Arabidopsis thaliana: one gene and its partner. The protein of the gene in region 2 interacts with the protein of the main gene of each other region in a pairwise test. Each region holds a gene or a part of one and is shown on either strand. Other genes may lie near its edges.

What was found. Proteins that work in one complex are often made in the same cells at the same time.
Region 1: the proteins of RNS1 (region 2) and NAC001 interact in a two-hybrid assay, tested with the Arabidopsis thaliana proteins (one large-scale study listed by BioGRID).

What each region holds. Positions count from the first base shown.
Region 1 is NC_003070.9:312-10,356, forward strand, and holds NAC001 (NAC domain containing protein 1), read left to right. Parts: upstream 1-3,319; 5' UTR 3,320-3,448; coding exon 3,449-3,602; intron 3,603-3,684; coding exon 3,685-3,965; intron 3,966-4,174; coding exon 4,175-4,294; intron 4,295-4,394; coding exon 4,395-4,784; intron 4,785-4,862; coding exon 4,863-5,015; intron 5,016-5,127; coding exon 5,128-5,319; 3' UTR 5,320-5,588; downstream 5,589-10,045. Other genes in the region: ARV1 family protein, read right to left, coding at 6,604-6,758, 6,846-6,921, 7,073-7,139, 7,253-7,338, 7,451-7,524, 7,631-7,676, 7,925-8,014, 8,106-8,153 and 1 more.
Region 2 is NC_003071.7:867,047-878,642, forward strand, and holds RNS1 (ribonuclease 1), read left to right. Parts: upstream 1-6,459; 5' UTR 6,460-6,667; coding exon 6,668-6,781; intron 6,782-6,857; coding exon 6,858-7,013; intron 7,014-7,118; coding exon 7,119-7,317; intron 7,318-7,397; coding exon 7,398-7,621; 3' UTR 7,622-7,840; downstream 7,841-11,596. Other genes in the region: AT2G02970 (GDA1/CD39 nucleoside phosphatase family protein), read right to left, coding at 72-184, 337-961; OTP85 (Pentatricopeptide repeat (PPR) superfamily protein), read left to right, coding at 1,422-3,233; AT2G03000 (RING/U-box superfamily protein), read left to right, coding at 8,187-9,426, 9,794-10,161. UniProt on the Arabidopsis thaliana protein: May remobilize phosphate, particularly when cells senesce or when phosphate becomes limiting.

The DNA of each region.
Region 1 (10,045 bases), on a different chromosome or scaffold from region 2:
ATCTACATTTGGGAATGTGAGTCTCTTATTGTAACCTTAGGGTTGGTTTATCTCAAGAATCTTATTAATTGTTTGGACTGTTTATGTTTGGACATTTATTGTCATTCTTACTCCTTTGTGGAAATGTTTGTTCTATCAATTTATCTTTTGTGGGAAAATTATTTAGTTGTAGGGATGAAGTCTTTCTTCGTTGTTGTTACGCTTGTCATCTCATCTCTCAATGATATGGGATGGTCCTTTAGCATTTATTCTGAAGTTCTTCTGCTTGATGATTTTATCCTTAGCCAAAAGGATTGGTGGTTTGAAGACACATCATATCAAAAAAGCTATCGCCTCGACGATGCTCTATTTCTATCCTTGTAGCACACATTTTGGCACTCAAAAAAGTATTTTTAGATGTTTGTTTTGCTTCTTTGAAGTAGTTTCTCTTTGCAAAATTCCTCTTTTTTTAGAGTGATTTGGATGATTCAAGACTTCTCGGTACTGCAAAGTTCTTCCGCCTGATTAATTATCCATTTTACCTTTGTCGTAGATATTAGGTAATCTGTAAGTCAACTCATATACAACTCATAATTTAAAATAAAATTATGATCGACACACGTTTACACATAAAATCTGTAAATCAACTCATATACCCGTTATTCCCACAATCATATGCTTTCTAAAAGCAAAAGTATATGTCAACAATTGGTTATAAATTATTAGAAGTTTTCCACTTATGACTTAAGAACTTGTGAAGCAGAAAGTGGCAACACCCCCCACCTCCCCCCCCCCCCCCCACCCCCCAAATTGAGAAGTCAATTTTATATAATTTAATCAAATAAATAAGTTTATGGTTAAGAGTTTTTTACTCTCTTTATTTTTCTTTTTCTTTTTGAGACATACTGAAAAAAGTTGTAATTATTAATGATAGTTCTGTGATTCCTCCATGAATCACATCTGCTTGATTTTTCTTTCATAAATTTATAAGTAATACATTCTTATAAAATGGTCAGAGAAACACCAAAGATCCCGAGATTTCTTCTCACTTACTTTTTTTCTATCTATCTAGATTATATAAATGAGATGTTGAATTAGAGGAACCTTTGATTCAATGATCATAGAAAAATTAGGTAAAGAGTCAGTGTCGTTATGTTATGGAAGATGTGAATGAAGTTTGACTTCTCATTGTATATGAGTAAAATCTTTTCTTACAAGGGAAGTCCCCAATTGGTCAACATGTGAAAGCACGTGTCATGTTCTTACTTTTGTTTGGGTAATCTTCTAATTACTGTATATGGAAGATGTGAATGAAGTTTTGGTCCTGAATGTGGCCAAGGTTCCGTCATTTGGAGATACGAAATCAAATCTCCTTTAAGATTTTGTTTTTATAATGTGTTCTTCCATCCACATCTATCTCCATATGATATGGACCATATCATACATCATCATTTGTCCAAATGCATGAATGAATTTGGAAATAGGTACGAGAATGCCAACAATGACAAGAAGGGATCAAAGACAGTTTTTAAAACAATATTTTACAGGGTTTTAATCTAATTCTAAGTTTTGGTCACTCACTTTGTTAAAAGAATAATTCAGTGTCTGGACACTAAAATCTTCCAAAAACCCCATATACATATATGCTATTTCGATACTTATATTTATTTACTCAGCATAAAAAATATTAACCATGTATTCATAGTAAAATGTTTCATGTGATATCAAACCAGCGACAACAAAAGTATTATTCCCCTCATTATGTTTGACTCCTATTATATTTTTATTTTAATTTTTTTCACTATCATCTTTCTTGCAATGAAAGTCCCATATATTGGTCAACATTTCAAACCACTTGTTCTCTTTTATGTTTTGGTAAGAGCTATCTTCTAAATTTATAATACGCATAAATTCAAAAGTAAAAGAAAATTTTGGTCATGAATGTTGTTTAAGTCATTTGGAGATACGAAATCAAATCTCCTTGTAGATTTTGTTTTTAGAATGTCGTTCCTTTTTCATCATCTTAGCTATATCTACAGCTATATATCCTATCTTTAAACCTATATTATTTTTTCCTCTCTTCACCAAAGCCATGTTTTTTAGTTGTGGCGAAAAATAAGAAATCCATACATCAACATATCGCTTTCGTTACCTTAAATTTTGGCTTGTTATGAAGGCATGTCATAACGTTTCTAGTCACAACTCACAAGCATACCAACGACCATGATAAATCCAAAAAGTAGAAACAATCTATTATCTAAACCCCCAAAAGACAAAAGAAAAAAGTAGAAAGAAAAGGTAGGCAGAGATATAATGCTGGTTTTATTTGTTTGTTAAAAGATATTGCTATTTCTGCCAATATTAAAACTTCACTTAGGAAGACTTGAACCTACCACACGTTAGTGACTAATGAGAGCCACTAGATAATTGCATGCATCCCACACTAGTACTAATTTTCTAGGGATATTAGAGTTTTCTAATCACCTACTTCCTACTATGTGTATGTTATCTACTGGCGTGGATGCTTTTAAAGATGTTACGTTATTATTTTGTTCGGTTTGGAAAACGGCTCAATCGTTATGAGTTCGTAAGACACATACATTGTTCCATGATAAAATGCAACCCCACGAACCATTTGCGACAAGCAAAACAACATGGTCAAAATTAAAAGCTAACAATTAGCCAGCGATTCAAAAAGTCAACCTTCTAGATGGATTTAACAACATATCGATAGGATTCAAGATTAAAAATAAGCACACTCTTATTAATGTTAAAAAACGAATGAGATGAAAATATTTGGCGTGTTCACACACATAATCTAGAAGACAGATTCGAGTTGCTCTCCTTTGTTTTGCTTTGGGAGGGACCCATTATTACCGCCCAGCAGCTTCCCAGCCTTCCTTTATAAGGCTTAATTTATATTTATTTAAATTTTATATGTTCTTCTATTATAATACTAAAAGGGGAATACAAATTTCTACAGAGGATGATATTCAATCCACGGTTCACCCAAACCGATTTTATAAAATTTATTATTAAATCTTTTTTAATTGTTAAATTGGTTTAAATCTGAACTCTGTTTACTTACATTGATTAAAATTCTAAACCATCATAAGTAAAAAATAATATGATTAAGACTAATAAATCTTAATAGTTAATACTACTCGGTTTACTACATGAAATTTCATACCATCAATTGTTTTAATAATCTTTAAAATTGTTAGGACCGGTAAAACCATACCAATTAAACCGGAGATCCATATTAATTTAATTAAGAAAATAAAAATAAAAGGAATAAATTGTCTTATTTAAACGCTGACTTCACTGTCTTCCTCCCTCCAAATTATTAGATATACCAAACCAGAGAAAACAAATACATAATCGGAGAAATACAGATTACAGAGAGCGAGAGAGATCGACGGCGAAGCTCTTTACCCGGAAACCATTGAAATCGGACGGTTTAGTGAAAATGGAGGATCAAGTTGGGTTTGGGTTCCGTCCGAACGACGAGGAGCTCGTTGGTCACTATCTCCGTAACAAAATCGAAGGAAACACTAGCCGCGACGTTGAAGTAGCCATCAGCGAGGTCAACATCTGTAGCTACGATCCTTGGAACTTGCGCTGTAAGTTCCGAATTTTCTGAATTTCATTTGCAAGTAATCGATTTAGGTTTTTGATTTTAGGGTTTTTTTTTGTTTTGAACAGTCCAGTCAAAGTACAAATCGAGAGATGCTATGTGGTACTTCTTCTCTCGTAGAGAAAACAACAAAGGGAATCGACAGAGCAGGACAACGGTTTCTGGTAAATGGAAGCTTACCGGAGAATCTGTTGAGGTCAAGGACCAGTGGGGATTTTGTAGTGAGGGCTTTCGTGGTAAGATTGGTCATAAAAGGGTTTTGGTGTTCCTCGATGGAAGATACCCTGACAAAACCAAATCTGATTGGGTTATCCACGAGTTCCACTACGACCTCTTACCAGAACATCAGGTTTTCTTCTATTCATATATATATATATATATATATGTGGATATATATATATGTGGTTTCTGCTGATTCATAGTTAGAATTTGAGTTATGCAAATTAGAAACTATGTAATGTAACTCTATTTAGGTTCAGCAGCTATTTTAGGCTTAGCTTACTCTCACCAATGTTTTATACTGATGAACTTATGTGCTTACCTCCGGAAATTTTACAGAGGACATATGTCATCTGCAGACTTGAGTACAAGGGTGATGATGCGGACATTCTATCTGCTTATGCAATAGATCCCACTCCCGCTTTTGTCCCCAATATGACTAGTAGTGCAGGTTCTGTGGTGAGTCTTTCTCCATATACACTTAGCTTTGAGTAGGCAGATCAAAAAAGAGCTTGTGTCTACTGATTTGATGTTTTCCTAAACTGTTGATTCGTTTCAGGTCAACCAATCACGTCAACGAAATTCAGGATCTTACAACACTTACTCTGAGTATGATTCAGCAAATCATGGCCAGCAGTTTAATGAAAACTCTAACATTATGCAGCAGCAACCACTTCAAGGATCATTCAACCCTCTCCTTGAGTATGATTTTGCAAATCACGGCGGTCAGTGGCTGAGTGACTATATCGACCTGCAACAGCAAGTTCCTTACTTGGCACCTTATGAAAATGAGTCGGAGATGATTTGGAAGCATGTGATTGAAGAAAATTTTGAGTTTTTGGTAGATGAAAGGACATCTATGCAACAGCATTACAGTGATCACCGGCCCAAAAAACCTGTGTCTGGGGTTTTGCCTGATGATAGCAGTGATACTGAAACTGGATCAATGGTAAGCTTTTTTTACTCATATATAATCACAACCTATATCGCTTCTATATCTCACACGCTGAATTTTGGCTTTTAACAGATTTTCGAAGACACTTCGAGCTCCACTGATAGTGTTGGTAGTTCAGATGAACCGGGCCATACTCGTATAGATGATATTCCATCATTGAACATTATTGAGCCTTTGCACAATTATAAGGCACAAGAGCAACCAAAGCAGCAGAGCAAAGAAAAGGTTTAACACTCTCACTGAGAAACATGACTTTGATACGAAATCTGAATCAACATTTCATCAAAAAGATTTAGTCAAATGACCTCTAAATTATGAGCTATGGGTCTGCTTTCAGGTGATAAGTTCGCAGAAAAGCGAATGCGAGTGGAAAATGGCTGAAGACTCGATCAAGATACCTCCATCCACCAACACGGTGAAGCAGAGCTGGATTGTTTTGGAGAATGCACAGTGGAACTATCTCAAGAACATGATCATTGGTGTCTTGTTGTTCATCTCCGTCATTAGTTGGATCATTCTTGTTGGTTAAGAGGTCAAATCGGATTCTTGCTCAAAATTTGTATTTCTTAGAATGTGTGTTTTTTTTTGTTTTTTTTTCTTTGCTCTGTTTTCTCGCTCCGGAAAAGTTTGAAGTTATATTTTATTAGTATGTAAAGAAGAGAAAAAGGGGGAAAGAAGAGAGAAGAAAAATGCAGAAAATCATATATATGAATTGGAAAAAAGTATATGTAATAATAATTAGTGCATCGTTTTGTGGTGTAGTTTATATAAATAAAGTGATATATAGTCTTGTATAAGAAAGGGATTTTACATGAGACCCAAATATGAGTAAAGGGTGTTGGCTCAAAGATTCATTTAGCAACCAAAGTTGCATTTGCAAGGAAATGAAAAGGTGTTAACAATGTCACTGCGTAACATGACTTCGATACAAAATCTCAAACAATACATCTTCAACTGTGGATTATGATGGACTTGGGGTTGCAGGTGATATGTCTATAGAAAAACGGGTGGGAATGGAAAATGGCTGAAGAAGAAAGCTCCAACTAAGCATCATAACTGGATTGTTTTAGAGGAGATGAGTCAAAGGAATTCACAGTGGAACTATCTCAAGAACATGATCATTGGCTTCTTATTGTTCATCTCCATCATTGGCTGGATCATTCTGGTTCAAGAGGTCAAATTATATATACATAACGGATCTAAGAAGTATAGTGTAGTCAATTAAAACAAAACGAGACTTGAAAATAAGCATAAGTATTATTAAGTTAACCCAATATTCGTTTCAATGCTTTAGTTATCATCAGAATTCTCAACATTTTCAGATATTTAACTTGCCTTTGGTTGCTTTCTCGCCATGGTAGTAGCATTCTCCGGATAAGAATCAAGGGGAGCCTCAACTTCGGCTTCAACCGTCTCCTCGTCTTTCCTATGACATTCACTTGGTGTTGCAACAATGTGTTGATGCCCCACATTCATAGGAGAGTCCCACATATCTCCAACATTCATAGGAGGGTTCCACATATGCCCACCATTCCAAGGAGGGTACCACCACATATGCCCAGCATTCCAAGAAAGATGGAGCGACGATATCGTGAGGAACAAGGTTTTTGTAGGGCAAATAATTGTAGGTGGTTGAGTTATATCCGCCCGCACAGAGTAACAGACCAACAATTAACTTTTGATATTTTAGTAAGGTCTAATTCAATTTTTGGTGGCGATAATATTTGGCTTAGTCATAAAATACAGTATGGTATAATAATGTAAAGGTTTCTCTTATCTTCAAACCAAAAGACTATACTGGAAGCTGATGGGATCATACGATTCTGAAAAAATAAGACATATATTGCAACAGAGATCCAATTTGTATCAAAAATATTGTCGGCTCAAAAATCTGACCCACCAAGAATCTAATCAAGTGCGCGATTAAGCATACGGCTATGCATCTGGTCATTGTTGATTCAGTCATCACTGGTTTAAAGACAAACTTGCATTGTGAGATTCCAAAATAACAACAACAAAAAACAATTTGCATTGAGAACATTTTGAAGGTCTGACCTTTAAGAGCCATGGAGTTTGATGTTAAGAGAAGTATATCGACAAAAAAAATCACTGACATTGGGAATTCCCATACCTGTAATAACAAAGATTCTCTATTTTTGAGCAAAGAGACATAACACCATGTTTAATCAATACAAGAAACTTTAGTGCATGATTTATGGAATGCTTAAGAAGTTTGGAACTTCAATATTAGGAATTAAGTGAGAGGTAAAGCTACAACATACCAACATCGCAAGCAGAAATATCTTGAAGTAACTAGAGATGAATATCCCCAACATAATCTCTCTTCTTCTGCAAAGTTTTTAAAAAAAATTATACATAAACAATCTTCAGGTGACAGAAGTCTGAGATCTTTGATGAAAAACTCATAATAAGAACTAAGAAGAAGAAGAATCAGTAATCACCTGGAAACTTCATTTAGCAAACCCTTAGTCGCAATGGCAAAAGAGATGATAAATGCAGCGTTTGCAGATAAGACACCAATCAGAACCTGTTTCAAATGCGAAATTATTACCCTTTCTAAACAATCTCAATGACTTAAATCATTTAAACCTTAAAGGAAAAAAAATCTAATTAAGTCCATTAAAAAGAAACGATCTAACCTTTATAGATAGAAGAACAGGGCTATCAGAAAAGCTCGATTCTTCATCACTTTTTCTCAGTAGCAAGCTTCTATCTATGATGAGTTCAGGGCTTTTCAAATAAGTTTGCCGATGAATCTCACCAACTACACATCTGCTAGCTACACTTTGATAGTAAAAGATTATAAAACAAAAGGATACAACAGTCTAGAAGAAGATAGGCGAAGACCAACTTCCACAACAGATGCTGCACACACACACACAAAAAAAAAAAAAGAACCCAACAATTCTTATTGGATCAGAGACTACTCAATATCCCCAAACTTGGAAATTAGTTTGTTGCTTGAGGTCTAAGATACTTCTATATATGGAAAAAGATTTTCAAAGCCAGATATTTCCACAAGTTTGTAATATCAATTCAAGATAAGAGAGCTAGAATCAGACAGGAACTAGCAATGCTTGAAATCAAGAACTTGAATTGAAATAGTTTTTTACCTGAATATTGACAGTTGCTGGATTAATTGCATTGTAGAGGACGTGTCTATATACCTTTGGTCTGTGAAGGATTAAATCGATGAAAATAATCTGCCAAAGAAAACAATTAAAGAACCAAAAACCAAAATTGGAAAGAAATAGGGAAACACCCAAAAAGGGAAAGAAAGTGATTAAAACAGACCATGCGTTCACACTCGATGTACTCATCTGCTACTTCCTTGCAATTTCCCTAAATATAACAATATGATCAAAGATGGAAACTTTGAAGAAATTTAATAGAGAATCTTATAAACCCTAATTGGGTCAAAGAAGATCCATTAATACAAAAATCTTACGCATTTCATGAGACGAATGTTACCCGGAGAGTATTGAATGAACAATGACTTTACCCTAAAACCACATCCCACGCATCTGTGTTCACTCGCCGCCATTGCTCTCTCTCTCTCTCTCTCTCTCTCTCTCTCAAGAGAAGAAGAATACGGAGCAATTAGAGTCCGGGTCTGGGCTACTGTTTTAACCCTAAATGGGCTTATTCATGGGCCAAGTTTTTGAAGTCTTAACTTTAAATTTGTTAGGCCCACTTTTGCTCTAAGCCGGGGTATTTGTACCCCAAAATTTAAAAATCATATACACGTTGTAATTTATAAATAGTTCAATTTGGATCAAAATCTTGTCCATATGACATAGCATTTTAAAATGCGTAGGTTCATGAATGAAACATATTATAGGCCTCAGATAAAGATATACATATTAAGTCTAAATTATTTAGTCTTCAGAATTTACCACACTTACTGAAAAGTCTAGTGGTTCACTAATATTATTACTGTCGTGTTACTTTCTATATATAGTTCATGACTTGTGAGTTGTGATGGATAAGTTTATAAGAAAATAAATTATTTATTACAATTCAACAGTGAAGAAATTTATTTAGTTTGATTAAATAAGAAAGGTAAATAAATCTTCGTTTGCCACACCAAACAAAAAAAACTCCTTTTGTTGCATGTAATTAGCATATGGCTACAAAATGAAAGATTTGACAATGAGGTTTAGATAAAATAGTTTCCTTTCAATATAAGTAAACTCAACATAAAAATGAAACGGTAAGTTAAAAGTTTAATATTTGATTATTACTTTATTTAGAAATGTATTAGAAAGGGAAAGAACCCATTAACCCCCAATACGAAGTTTCCTTATCATCATTAATCATGCCTATGAAAACCCTAACCGGCCTACATATTTGCAGTCTCTTTTAGGTCAGGAATCTAATGAGAATGAATTATTTTATTTTATTTAACAATAATTGGAGCATGTCATTAATTCTCTTTATTCTTCTTACACAACTAATCATTTAGATGTGTTACAATATTATTTCCTTTAGTCATTTTCATAATTTTAATACCTCCGTACTTTTCACTAATACCTCCCCTTTTAATTTTCATTATTTCTTCTTTTCTATCAGTCTATGCATGCATTCTTTTGAATATTAAAATGCATTTTATATTCTTTTGACAACTATGCACAAGCCTTTTGAGACACATCTACACAATATAATAGCACAAGCCTTTATGAGACATATCTACACAATATCATTGCTACTTGTAGACTATTTGGAATACGTATTTACATATTCCATTGTATCATCCCTTTGCAAATGTTTTATACATATAACTAACATATACATTATTCGTAACTTTGTTCCCCTATATCGAAAAATGTGGGCTACACATATAACTAACATATATATATATATGTATGTTTATATGATATAGTCTCCATGTCTATATATCTTATATATTACATGTTTCATGTTTACGGTCAAGGGAGTATTTTTATACGCATACACAATCATACACACTTAACCCTACTTATAATGATGTAGGTTCATATATTTATCTTATTTTAGGATCATTCGATCACAAATTATACGGACCCTCATACTCTCTAAAGATATACAAAATCCGCTATGTCATATCCGATCCGAATTAGCAGCTAAAGAAAAACAAACACATGCATCTACTGAAGATTTGAGTCTCGAGTGCTTAGTTACATGAACTATCACAAAGGATATGGATAATATAAGGTGTACTGAAGTATGTCTATGCAATGGGAGGGAAATACATT
Region 2 (11,596 bases):
CACTCATCGTCTGTTGCAGGATAGCTTTTGACTCAAGCATAAATCTGAAAGGGAAAAAAAAACAACTAAACCTGAGCAGAAGCCCCGCCAAGTTCAACAATTCCGGTTGTTTTAAGAGGATCACCTCCAAGTGAACCGAGAGCAAAGTTTGCAACAACCCAAGCATATACACCCTCGTCAGATCCTGGCAAATTTAGTATCCAATGATTAGCTAGTAACAATAAAGGAGCAACAAACTCTCAAATCAAAAAGAGCGAGACAGAAACTGATACAACTCCAATGGCATTAGATAAAAAGACTCACTTTTGAACAAAAGAGAAGATTTTGAAAACTCACCAGAGATAACAGAAGCCCATTCATCTCGAAACAAGAACCCAGAAGATTTAAGAACTCTTCTTGCAACTCCCAGAATCTTTTCCTGAACAGGTAATTCAAGCAATCTCATTCCCGCCGTCGCCATTAACCTAACTTCAGTCTCAATCCACATTCCTTTCGGAACTCTCCCTTTCGCAAACTCAACCAGCTCCGTCAATGACACACTCGCTCCATCAGGATCATCAGCAAACGCCGATAAACCCGGATGCAACTTCAAACTAGCGTAATTCGCTCCTCTGAATTCAAAAACCGGTTTACCCGACTCAATCCGGTACCCAAACACATGGATTCGTGTCCCTGTACTTCCGCCGTCGATCACGACGCTATAACGAAGCGATCCTCTCAGATTACCGCCGGAGAACAAAATTGAATAGCAAAGAAAGAGAACCCCCAACACTACAGATATAGAACCAACTGTTAACAAGAGATTCGATTTCGCGTGTTTCGAATTCGGTTTTGTTAGCGTATAGGTCGATGAAGAAGACGGTGCTCGGTTCCCAGAACGGATCTGGAACTTAATCGGATCCATATCGGATTTACTACTACTACTATTCTTCACCCTAGAACGGGCATGAGATCGTCGCATCAACAATTCAAAAACCGCCACGAGAACGAAGAACAAGGAACCATAAGATCTGGAAGAATTCAAATATGGAAAATTGAAATTAATATATATTTTCGTGAATTTTCGATTTTTTCTTCTTTTTTTGAAGCTTTTATTGAACCGAGAATACTGGAGATTGAGAGGGCCGCCGTTAACCAGCGCCGGTGAAGCTCGCCGCCGCTCTCAAGTCTCCGATGTCGTTCTCGGTGATAGAAATAAAAATAAAAATAAAAGAGATTAAAAAGCAAAATTAAATTGGAAAATAAATTGGTCGTTGTAGCGCCTTTTACGATTTTTATACCTAATTATTAAATTACAATTCGGGTCGGGTCGGGTTATTTGATTATTAATTTTGCAATCGGGTCATGATCACATAACAGGCTTATCGTTATCCTCAAGATTTGTCAGTTTGAATAATGAGAAGCTCAAAATCAGAGCTTTAATGGCGATATCTTCAGCTTCACTAATATCATCATTCTCACACGCAGAAACGTTCACTAAGCATTCGAAAATCGACACTGTGAATACACAAAACCCGATTCTTCTGATTTCCAAATGCAATTCTCTAAGAGAGCTGATGCAAATTCAAGCTTACGCGATCAAATCTCATATTGAAGATGTTTCCTTCGTCGCTAAGCTGATAAATTTCTGCACTGAGTCTCCAACGGAGTCTTCAATGTCATATGCACGCCACTTGTTCGAGGCAATGTCTGAACCAGATATTGTCATTTTTAATTCTATGGCTCGTGGGTATTCTCGCTTCACGAATCCTCTTGAGGTTTTTAGTCTCTTCGTTGAGATCTTAGAAGATGGTATTTTACCTGACAACTACACTTTCCCGTCTCTTCTCAAAGCTTGTGCAGTAGCAAAGGCGTTAGAAGAAGGTAGACAATTGCATTGTTTGTCGATGAAACTAGGGCTTGATGATAATGTCTATGTTTGTCCAACGCTTATTAATATGTACACTGAGTGTGAAGATGTGGATTCTGCTCGTTGTGTGTTTGATCGGATTGTTGAGCCGTGTGTTGTTTGTTATAATGCTATGATCACGGGTTATGCGAGAAGAAACAGACCGAACGAGGCTTTATCTTTGTTCCGTGAAATGCAAGGTAAGTACTTGAAGCCGAATGAGATTACCCTTTTGAGTGTTCTGTCATCTTGTGCTCTGTTGGGATCGTTAGATTTAGGGAAATGGATACATAAGTATGCTAAGAAACATAGTTTCTGTAAGTATGTGAAAGTAAACACAGCTTTGATCGATATGTTTGCGAAATGTGGTAGCTTGGATGATGCAGTGTCTATATTCGAAAAAATGAGGTATAAGGATACACAAGCTTGGTCAGCAATGATTGTAGCTTATGCGAATCATGGGAAAGCTGAGAAATCCATGTTGATGTTTGAGAGAATGAGGTCTGAAAATGTTCAGCCTGATGAGATCACATTTCTCGGTCTGTTAAACGCTTGCAGCCACACTGGTCGAGTGGAAGAAGGGAGAAAGTATTTCTCACAGATGGTTAGCAAATTTGGGATTGTTCCGAGTATTAAGCATTATGGTTCTATGGTAGATCTTCTTAGTAGAGCTGGAAATTTAGAAGATGCATATGAATTCATTGATAAGCTCCCAATTAGCCCAACACCAATGCTATGGAGGATTCTTTTAGCTGCTTGTAGCAGCCATAACAATTTGGACCTAGCTGAAAAGGTTAGCGAGAGGATCTTTGAGCTAGATGATTCACACGGTGGCGATTACGTGATTTTATCAAACCTATACGCGAGAAACAAGAAATGGGAATATGTAGATTCTTTAAGAAAGGTGATGAAAGATCGAAAGGCGGTTAAAGTTCCCGGTTGCAGCTCGATTGAGGTAAACAATGTGGTTCATGAGTTTTTCTCAGGGGATGGTGTGAAGTCTGCAACCACAAAGCTTCACAGAGCATTAGATGAAATGGTGAAAGAGCTAAAGCTTTCAGGTTATGTTCCTGATACATCAATGGTAGTTCACGCCAATATGAATGACCAAGAGAAGGAAATTACGCTTAGGTATCACAGCGAAAAGCTTGCGATAACGTTTGGATTATTGAATACTCCTCCGGGAACAACGATTCGGGTTGTGAAGAATCTTAGGGTGTGTAGAGATTGTCACAATGCAGCAAAGTTGATATCTCTTATATTTGGTAGGAAAGTTGTTCTTAGAGATGTTCAAAGGTTTCATCATTTTGAAGATGGAAAATGTTCTTGTGGGGATTTTTGGTGACGTCATCTCCAGACCAACAACATAATTTTCCGTAGCTAAAAATCATATAACTGTGTATTGTTTCTTATAGTTTTATAAATTGATTCAAAATATGATTTAACATGGTAATCGATATGGTGTCACCTGTTCAATAATTTTCATAAGTGTTAGAACTAATAAAATAAAATAAAATAAAATCTAATAAGCTGATTTAACCTCAGACTAGTTACAATGATTTGTTGTAACAAACCATTTTACAACTGGTGAAAAAAATATTTTCACTACATTGATTTGTTGTAATTAAAAGTTAGGTGATATGGCAAATTTAGTGTTGATAAATATCAACATCCCTGAAAGTAGAAGATAGAAAATAAGTGTGACAAGTGTTATATTTTGATTGATTGCTTTGATTTCTATTTTTTTTTGTTTCATTTCAATTATATAACTTCAATTATTTTATAATATTTATACATAAAAATATCAAAATTTATAATTTTCATTCTCTATAAATAGATACTATTTTCATTTGATTTGAATACAAAAAATAAAAAACCGTGTTGGCTATCATCATGAGATCGTGTATCATATTGCATAATATGATTGTTGAGGATGAACGAGAGACATATGCTCAACATTGGACGGATTATGATCAATTTGAGGCAAGTAGGTCGAGTACACAACAACCATTCTCGACCGAAGTGCTACCCGTATTTACAAATCATGTGCGTGCTAGGTCCGAGTTGCGTGATTTAAATGTACATCACGAATTGCAAGCAGATCCAGTCAAACACATACGAGCACAATTCGGAATGTTCCATGGTGAATGAAATTTTTAAGTTTGTGAGTTGAGATTATTGTATTAATTAAATTATTAGTGTTTTCTTACTTGTTGTGTGCTTATTGTATTTTTGCATTTTAAATTTATGTTCATTGTATGTGTTTTAGTAATAATAATTTCTATTTCTCGTTTTTATTATTTATAAAAGTTTTTAAAAATATTATATAAAATAAAAACAAATATTAACACAAAAATAATTTATAAAATTATTTTAATTTAATTTAATATTAACAATGATTAATAATATGTAATCACAAAAACATAAACATAAATAAAATGAAAAAAATGAAATAAAAATGGTGGGGTAAGGTATTGTAATTTTATTAAACAAAACTATTGTAAATATAAAAGGGAGATTTGCAAAACTACCCTTTTTTTACTACCTTTTGCAACAATACCCTTTCGTGTTGTCCATTTTTAAAAATACTCATTTCCTTGACCAGAATGACCAAATTATCCTCATCTAATAGGAACATGTAATTGGAAACTGAAATTTTCCCGCCAATTTTTCTTTCCCCGCCAAAAAAAAAAAATTTCGTCAAACATTTTTCCCGCCAAAAAAAAATATTCTCGCCAAAAATTTTTACAACCAAAAAATTGCTTCTAAAAATCCTTGTAATTTTTTTTTTGCGGGAAATAGATTTACAAGGGATTTTAAAAGGGTTTTAAAAGATTTACAATGGATTTTAAAAGGTTTTAAAAAATTTTACAAGAGTTTTTAAAGAATCTTCTTGTAAACTCTTTAAAAATCTTTTAAAAACCCTTGTACATATCTTAAAACCCTTTTAAAATCTCTTGTAAATCTTTAAAACCCTTTTAAAATCCCTTGTAAATCTTTTAAAACCCTTTTAAAATCCCTTGTAAATCTTTTAACACCCTTTTAAAATCACTTGTAAATATTTTAAAACACTTTTCAAACAATTTTGAACCCTTTAAAAATCTTTATAAAACCTTTGTAAATCTTTTAAAGCCCTTTAAAATCTCTTATAAATCTTTTAAAACCCTTTTAAAATCCCCTGTAAAACTTTTAAAACCCTTTTAAAATCCCTTGTAAATCTTTTTAAACCCTTTTAAAATCCTTGTAAATATTTTAAAATCCCGTGTAATTCTTTTAAAACTCTTTTAAAATCTCGTGTAAATTTGGCGGGAAAAATATTTTTGGAAAAAAAAAATTGGCGGGAAATTGTTTTTTCAAAATTATTTGGTGGGAAATTTATTTTGGAATATTTTAGGCGAAAAATATTAATATTTCATTTTGTTTACCTAAAACAATTTCCAAATAACGGTAAATGGTCATTAAAATTTAAAGAAGGTAAAAATAAAAATGACAAATAGGAAAGAGTAGAATTGAAAAAGGGTAATGTGAAAAGGGTATTCTCAACAATTATTCAAGATAAAAATTGTATAGGTGTTAAATAATAATGTGTAAAAGAGAAGACGATGTGAAGTATTAAAAGAAAAAAAAAATGGATGTTGTATATAAGTAACCATTGTAGATAGTTTAAGCAAGAAAAATTGATGTTGCATTGGAAATTAAAAAATTTCAATAAAATTAGAAAAGCAACTCTAAATCATTACTTATTTTATTATTTTCAAGAAGTTATAAAGTATTAAACAATTCGTTGACAAATAAGTTTGATCGACATTGTGTGACAAATTTAAAACACATCATTAATAACAACGAGGACAAATACAGTTCAGATATCGTCTACTATTAAAACACTTCTTCTATAGGAGCAAAGAAAAATTGTCGGCAACGAACTGGGGACCAATAATATTCCGAGTTTGAGTTCAAACTGAGTAATTTTATTTTGAGAAAATTTGCCAAGTTAACTTATAATTCTGGTTTACGTGTAGTAATTTATTAAGTTGTTATAGGAAAATGAGAAAATACTAAGACACATCCAAGAAAGTTTCACACGAAATTTACTTACAAAAAGATTGTTTATTTAATACTTCCGTATATAGATATATAAATATTTAACACATTAATTATAAAGTTCAAGATAATTGATTATCTATCTTTTTTTGTCATCTGAAATTATTATCGCTCAAACGAAGTAATTCTGAGGAAAGTTGTTTACAAACTAGTTATTTCATTATTGTCTACTTATATAATAGAATTAAAAAAAATTATTGCTTAATGCAATTTAGTTTTAGATAAAATCATTAAACTTAATAGATTATATAAGTTAGATATCAATAATTGGGCTTGCTTAAAAACATAAATATAAAATATTATTGGGCCGTTACGTGCATACAAAACGAACCTTCTAACAAACAAGTGTGAACGTTACGACTTCAAAATTAAAAAAAAACACAACAACTATGTCCACACGTAATCTCATATGATTCAGATTCCAAGGAGAACAAAATTAAAAACAAATCTCGTAAACATACATACACTTCACATAAAACAAAAGGTACAGTATATACCATAAATCTCCGAGATTCTTTTGATGTATCTGTCCATTTCATTATTACACAAACTAGGAAACTGATATCTCTCTATTCACATTCCTCTGATTCTATTTCTCTTTATATATATTCACCCATTAACCATCTCAATCTTATAACCCTCAAAATCACAATCTTCTCTTACAAAAAACTTTGAAAGATGAAGATTCTTCTAGCATCATTGTGTTTGATCAGTCTTCTCGTAATCTTGCCTTCTGTCTTCTCTGCTTCTTCTTCCTCTGAAGATTTTGATTTCTTCTACTTCGTCCAACAAGTAATAAAATCATTCTAAGAATGTTTCTGATGATTTTTTATAATCATCTAATATTGTTTTGTGTTTTATTGTATAGTGGCCAGGATCATACTGTGACACACAGAAGAAGTGTTGTTATCCAAATTCAGGCAAACCAGCTGCTGATTTTGGCATTCATGGTCTTTGGCCTAACTACAAAGATGGAACTTATCCATCTAACTGTGATGCCTCTAAACCATTCGATAGCTCAACGGTAATAAGATCAAACATTTCTGTTTTAAGGTCAAAAATATGGTTTAAGGTAAAAAATATGGAAAGTTTTGTACATAACCGGTTGGTTTGATTTGGTTTGGTACAGATATCAGATCTTCTCACTTCAATGAAGAAGAGCTGGCCAACACTGGCTTGCCCAAGCGGTTCAGGTGAAGCGTTTTGGGAGCACGAATGGGAGAAGCATGGTACTTGCTCTGAATCGGTTATCGATCAACATGAATATTTCCAAACCGCTCTTAACCTTAAACAGAAAACCAATCTCCTTGGAGCTCTAACCAAAGCCGGTACGTTTTGATGTCAAAGTACCTTTTTATTTTCCCGGTTTGGATCTCATTGGTCTAACTATTGGTTTATTATGTAATAGGGATTAATCCGGATGGAAAATCTTACTCTTTGGAGAGCATAAGAGATTCGATAAAAGAGTCAATTGGTTTCACTCCTTGGGTTGAGTGTAACAGAGATGGTTCTGGTAATAGCCAATTGTACCAAGTCTATCTTTGTGTTGACCGGTCTGGTTCCGGTTTAATCGAATGTCCGGTTTTCCCACATGGGAAATGTGGAGCTGAGATCGAATTCCCTTCTTTTTAGTTTCCAATTTCTAAATTCAGTCTCTTGAACCGGCATCGATCTTTTGTTCATGGAGATTGGTTTGGTCAAAAAGAAGATTTAATGTAATAAAAATTTATGGGATATTGGATAATGATATAGTTCAATTTCAATAATATTCTACGTATCCGCATGGTTTAACTCTAAAATATATAGTGAAAATAGTTCAATTTTTCTCTAAAACTAGAAAACAAATCTTTCACAAAAAATTGCTAACACTTTTGTAAATCAGTTTTGATATGATAAATTTATTTTTTATGATAAAGTTAAATATTCAAAAAAAAATCTAGAGCATTAACGAAACTGTAACTCAAAAGTCGAATCTAAACAACAAAAAGAGTATGTCAAAAAAACAATCAACCATAAAGAGTTTAATAACAAGCGCCGAGAAAATCTTATCTATAAGGTTTTCGTTCTCCATAATTTAGAACTCTCGATCTGTTTTATTTCTTCTTAATAACAAGAGATGACGACATACAAAAAAACCTTTGATCTCTTAATATAATCTCTATTTCGTTTTTTTTTGTCCTTTAGGTTTTGAGTTGCAATGTCCTCGGATATGCGTGACGAGCGTTTCTTTTATCATCGATATCTTTCCGTTACAAATAGAACAACTCCAACTACGGCAACAAACTTGCCAACATCGACATCGAACATGCGATCTACGAGTTTGATGACACCAAGGGTTGCACATACTTCAATGTCATCTGGAGGAGATTTTCCCGACGACCGTTTTTTCCATGCTCGTCATCAGTCCGCTACGGATAGAGCAGCTTCAAATAGAAGCAGGGCGATCATGCCCATATCGACAACAAACGTGCCATCATCCACATCAAACTCACCTAGGGTTTTGCAGACCTCAATGTCGAGACGAGGTACCTCGCCAATGTCCTCGTCGACGAGGAGGAGTGTGCAAGCATCCATGTCAGCACGAGAAACCGTACCATCGTCGACATCAACGAGGAGCATGCAAACGTCTACGTCAACCCCGGAAATTATGCCTACATCATCAAGAAATGTGATAACAAGCAGCGAAGAAGTAGCAAATACATTCACTCAAACTTCTTACATACAATTTGGGAGCCTGTGGGAGACGAATACAACTCCTTCAACTAGGAGTTGGCCGACCGTGCCATCATCAAACTCACCTAGAGTTTTGCAGACGTCAATGTCGAGACGAGGTACCTCCCCAATGTCCTCGTCGACGAGGAGGAATGTGCAATCATCCATGTCAGGACGAGAAACCGTATCATCGTCGACATCAACGAGTAGCATGCAAACGTCAATGTCAACACCGGAAATTATGCCTACATCATCAAGAAATGTGATAACAAGGAGCGAAGAAGTAGCAAATACATTCAGTACTCAAACTCCTTACATACAATTTGGGAGGCTGTGGGAGACGAATACAACTTCTTCAACTAGGAGTAGGACTACCGTGCCCACATCGACCACAAACGTGCCTTCATCAAACTCATCTAGGGTTTTGCAGACGTCAATGTCGACACGAGGTACCTTCCCAATGTCCTCGTCGACCAGGATGAGTGTGCAAGCGTCAATGTTGGCACCAGGAACCGTATCATCGTCAATGTCAACAGTAGAGATTATGCCTACATCGGCAAGAAATATGATAACAATGAGTGAAGAAGTAGCAAATTCATTCACTCAAACTTCTTACATACAATTTGGGAGCTTGTGGGAGACGTTTAAAACTGTAACAAAGTTGTCGCGTGTAGCGATGGTGGAGAATGGAGAGTGTGTGATATGTCTGGAGGAATGGCGCAAAGGTGATATGGAGACGGAGCTACCATGTAAACACAAGTATCACTTGGAATGTGTGAAGAAGTGGTTGAAGATTCACGCCACGTGTCCTCAGTGTAGATACAAAATGCCTCTTGAAGCTGAAGACTAGTGATTATGATTTCTGAATCTTCTGACTCAGCATGAGGGTTTTGACGTCAACTTTTGTTTTTTTAGGAGAAGGTAATGAATTCAATTGGAATCATGTTTTGTAGAAGCATGATTAGGATCTATTGTTGAATTCGTATGTGAAGATCATATTCCCTTCGAATTTTGTCAATATTGGTTTACATTACCAAAATTAAAAATTTGAAACATAACCAGTTGGTAAAGTATGATCACTTCATCGATCAGAAACGTACGTAACATCATCGACATCGAACATGCGGACATCGAGTTTGATGACACTAACGAGGTTCATCGATGAGCAAATATCTTTACGAGCAACCGTTTCGTCGACGAGGACGACCGCACGGTTGTTGACTAATGAATCGCCGGCAACGATACGGGCGGTAGCGATGTTACCACGTGTAGCGATGGTGGAGAAAGGAGAGTGTGTGATATGTTTCGAGGAATGGAGCAAAAGTGATATGGAAACAGAGCTGCCATGTAAACACAAGTATCACTTGGAGTGTGTGGAGAAGTGGTTGAAGATTCACACCTCGTGTCCTCAATGTAGATACAAGCTTTCTTGTGTATATAAAAGCTTTTTGATGTTGTGATTTGAGAGATTACAAATTTATAATTGCAAAAGTTGTGTAATTGGAAATGTTTTGTTGCTTTCAAGGTTACATCAGAAGAAAGAGGCTTATTGACTTGGTTATCACAATCACCTAAAATTACTCTACTGGTTTGAATTATCCATCCACTTGTGTTGATTGATTTGAATCTTCCTCATTGGTTGTGTTATCCCTCTGTGCTTCATTAAAGACTTGAGTACTATATGATTCCACTATATTCACCTATTCAATAAGCCCCTTTATGATGTAACCCAAATTTTTCTTTTTGTCTCAATATCGTTTCTACTATATGACTTGAGTACTACTTGTAAATTTTTCTTTTTTGGTAGGCCCTGGTAAAGAATGTCACTCACAATTTATTCATAAACTAAAAGAAAAAATATCATATGTGAATGCTTCTCGGTCTCGTGGACCCACGCGTATCATTTACAAAGAGCAAAGTAACAATATCTGGAACATAAGTAGAAGAATGAAATCTTGGCGACAAACTAAACGCATAATTAGCTAACCCATATGCTAGATAGTTAATTAGCTTCTCGATATACGTGAAAAAAATGAACTATCCAGTCTCTCGAAAGAAAGTCATGACACAAGCATACCAGAAAAACATTGAATTATACTCGCTTATTCCTGTCTTAATTGTTATTTTATCATATTCTTTCAACAGATATAAGACGAAATTCTAAAAACCAATTGTTAAATTGACCAACACAAAAGAGCTTTAGTAATAGTAGAGACAAAGTGAATATATTAGTTTTTTGCATGAAAAAAAAAAGAAAAAGAAAAAGAAAGTTAAAAAAATAAACATTGGGGAAAGAAAAATATTCGTTTAGGTTGAGGCATGGCGATATGAAGACGATTTGACCGGGAGGCTTGTGATTGGTGGATTTTTTTCCTACTGTCCGATTTCTTTCTTCCTGTAGGTATGTCTATTTCGTTCGTGTTGGTCCACCGGATTCCCAGAAACAAGAGTAGCTATCAAACTGTCATGATGATGCTAAATGTGGGGAAATATTTCCAATTTAGTGGAGCAAAAGTCAATATTAAAATGCTAACAAGAGAAACAGTGAGAAGCAAGATTTTGATTCACATGAGGCTACCAAGAGACCATGGTACAAATAGTCATAGTCTTGGCTGAAAAAGTATCTATATATACATTTTTAATAAAGTTTTTGGTTGAAAAATCTCTCAAATATTTACTATTTTCAATATTAATCCTAACAAAATCTATTTGACAAAATATTGTCTTTAAAAAAATTTACAAATCGACTTTATCAACTAACAATTTATAATTAATTATTTGTCTTAATCTTGCACATATTAATTACGTATTATTTGAGAAAATCTAAACAATTAGAAAAGATCTATACTAACCATATATATGTTGTTCTTTGATCACAATATTCATTTACTTGAT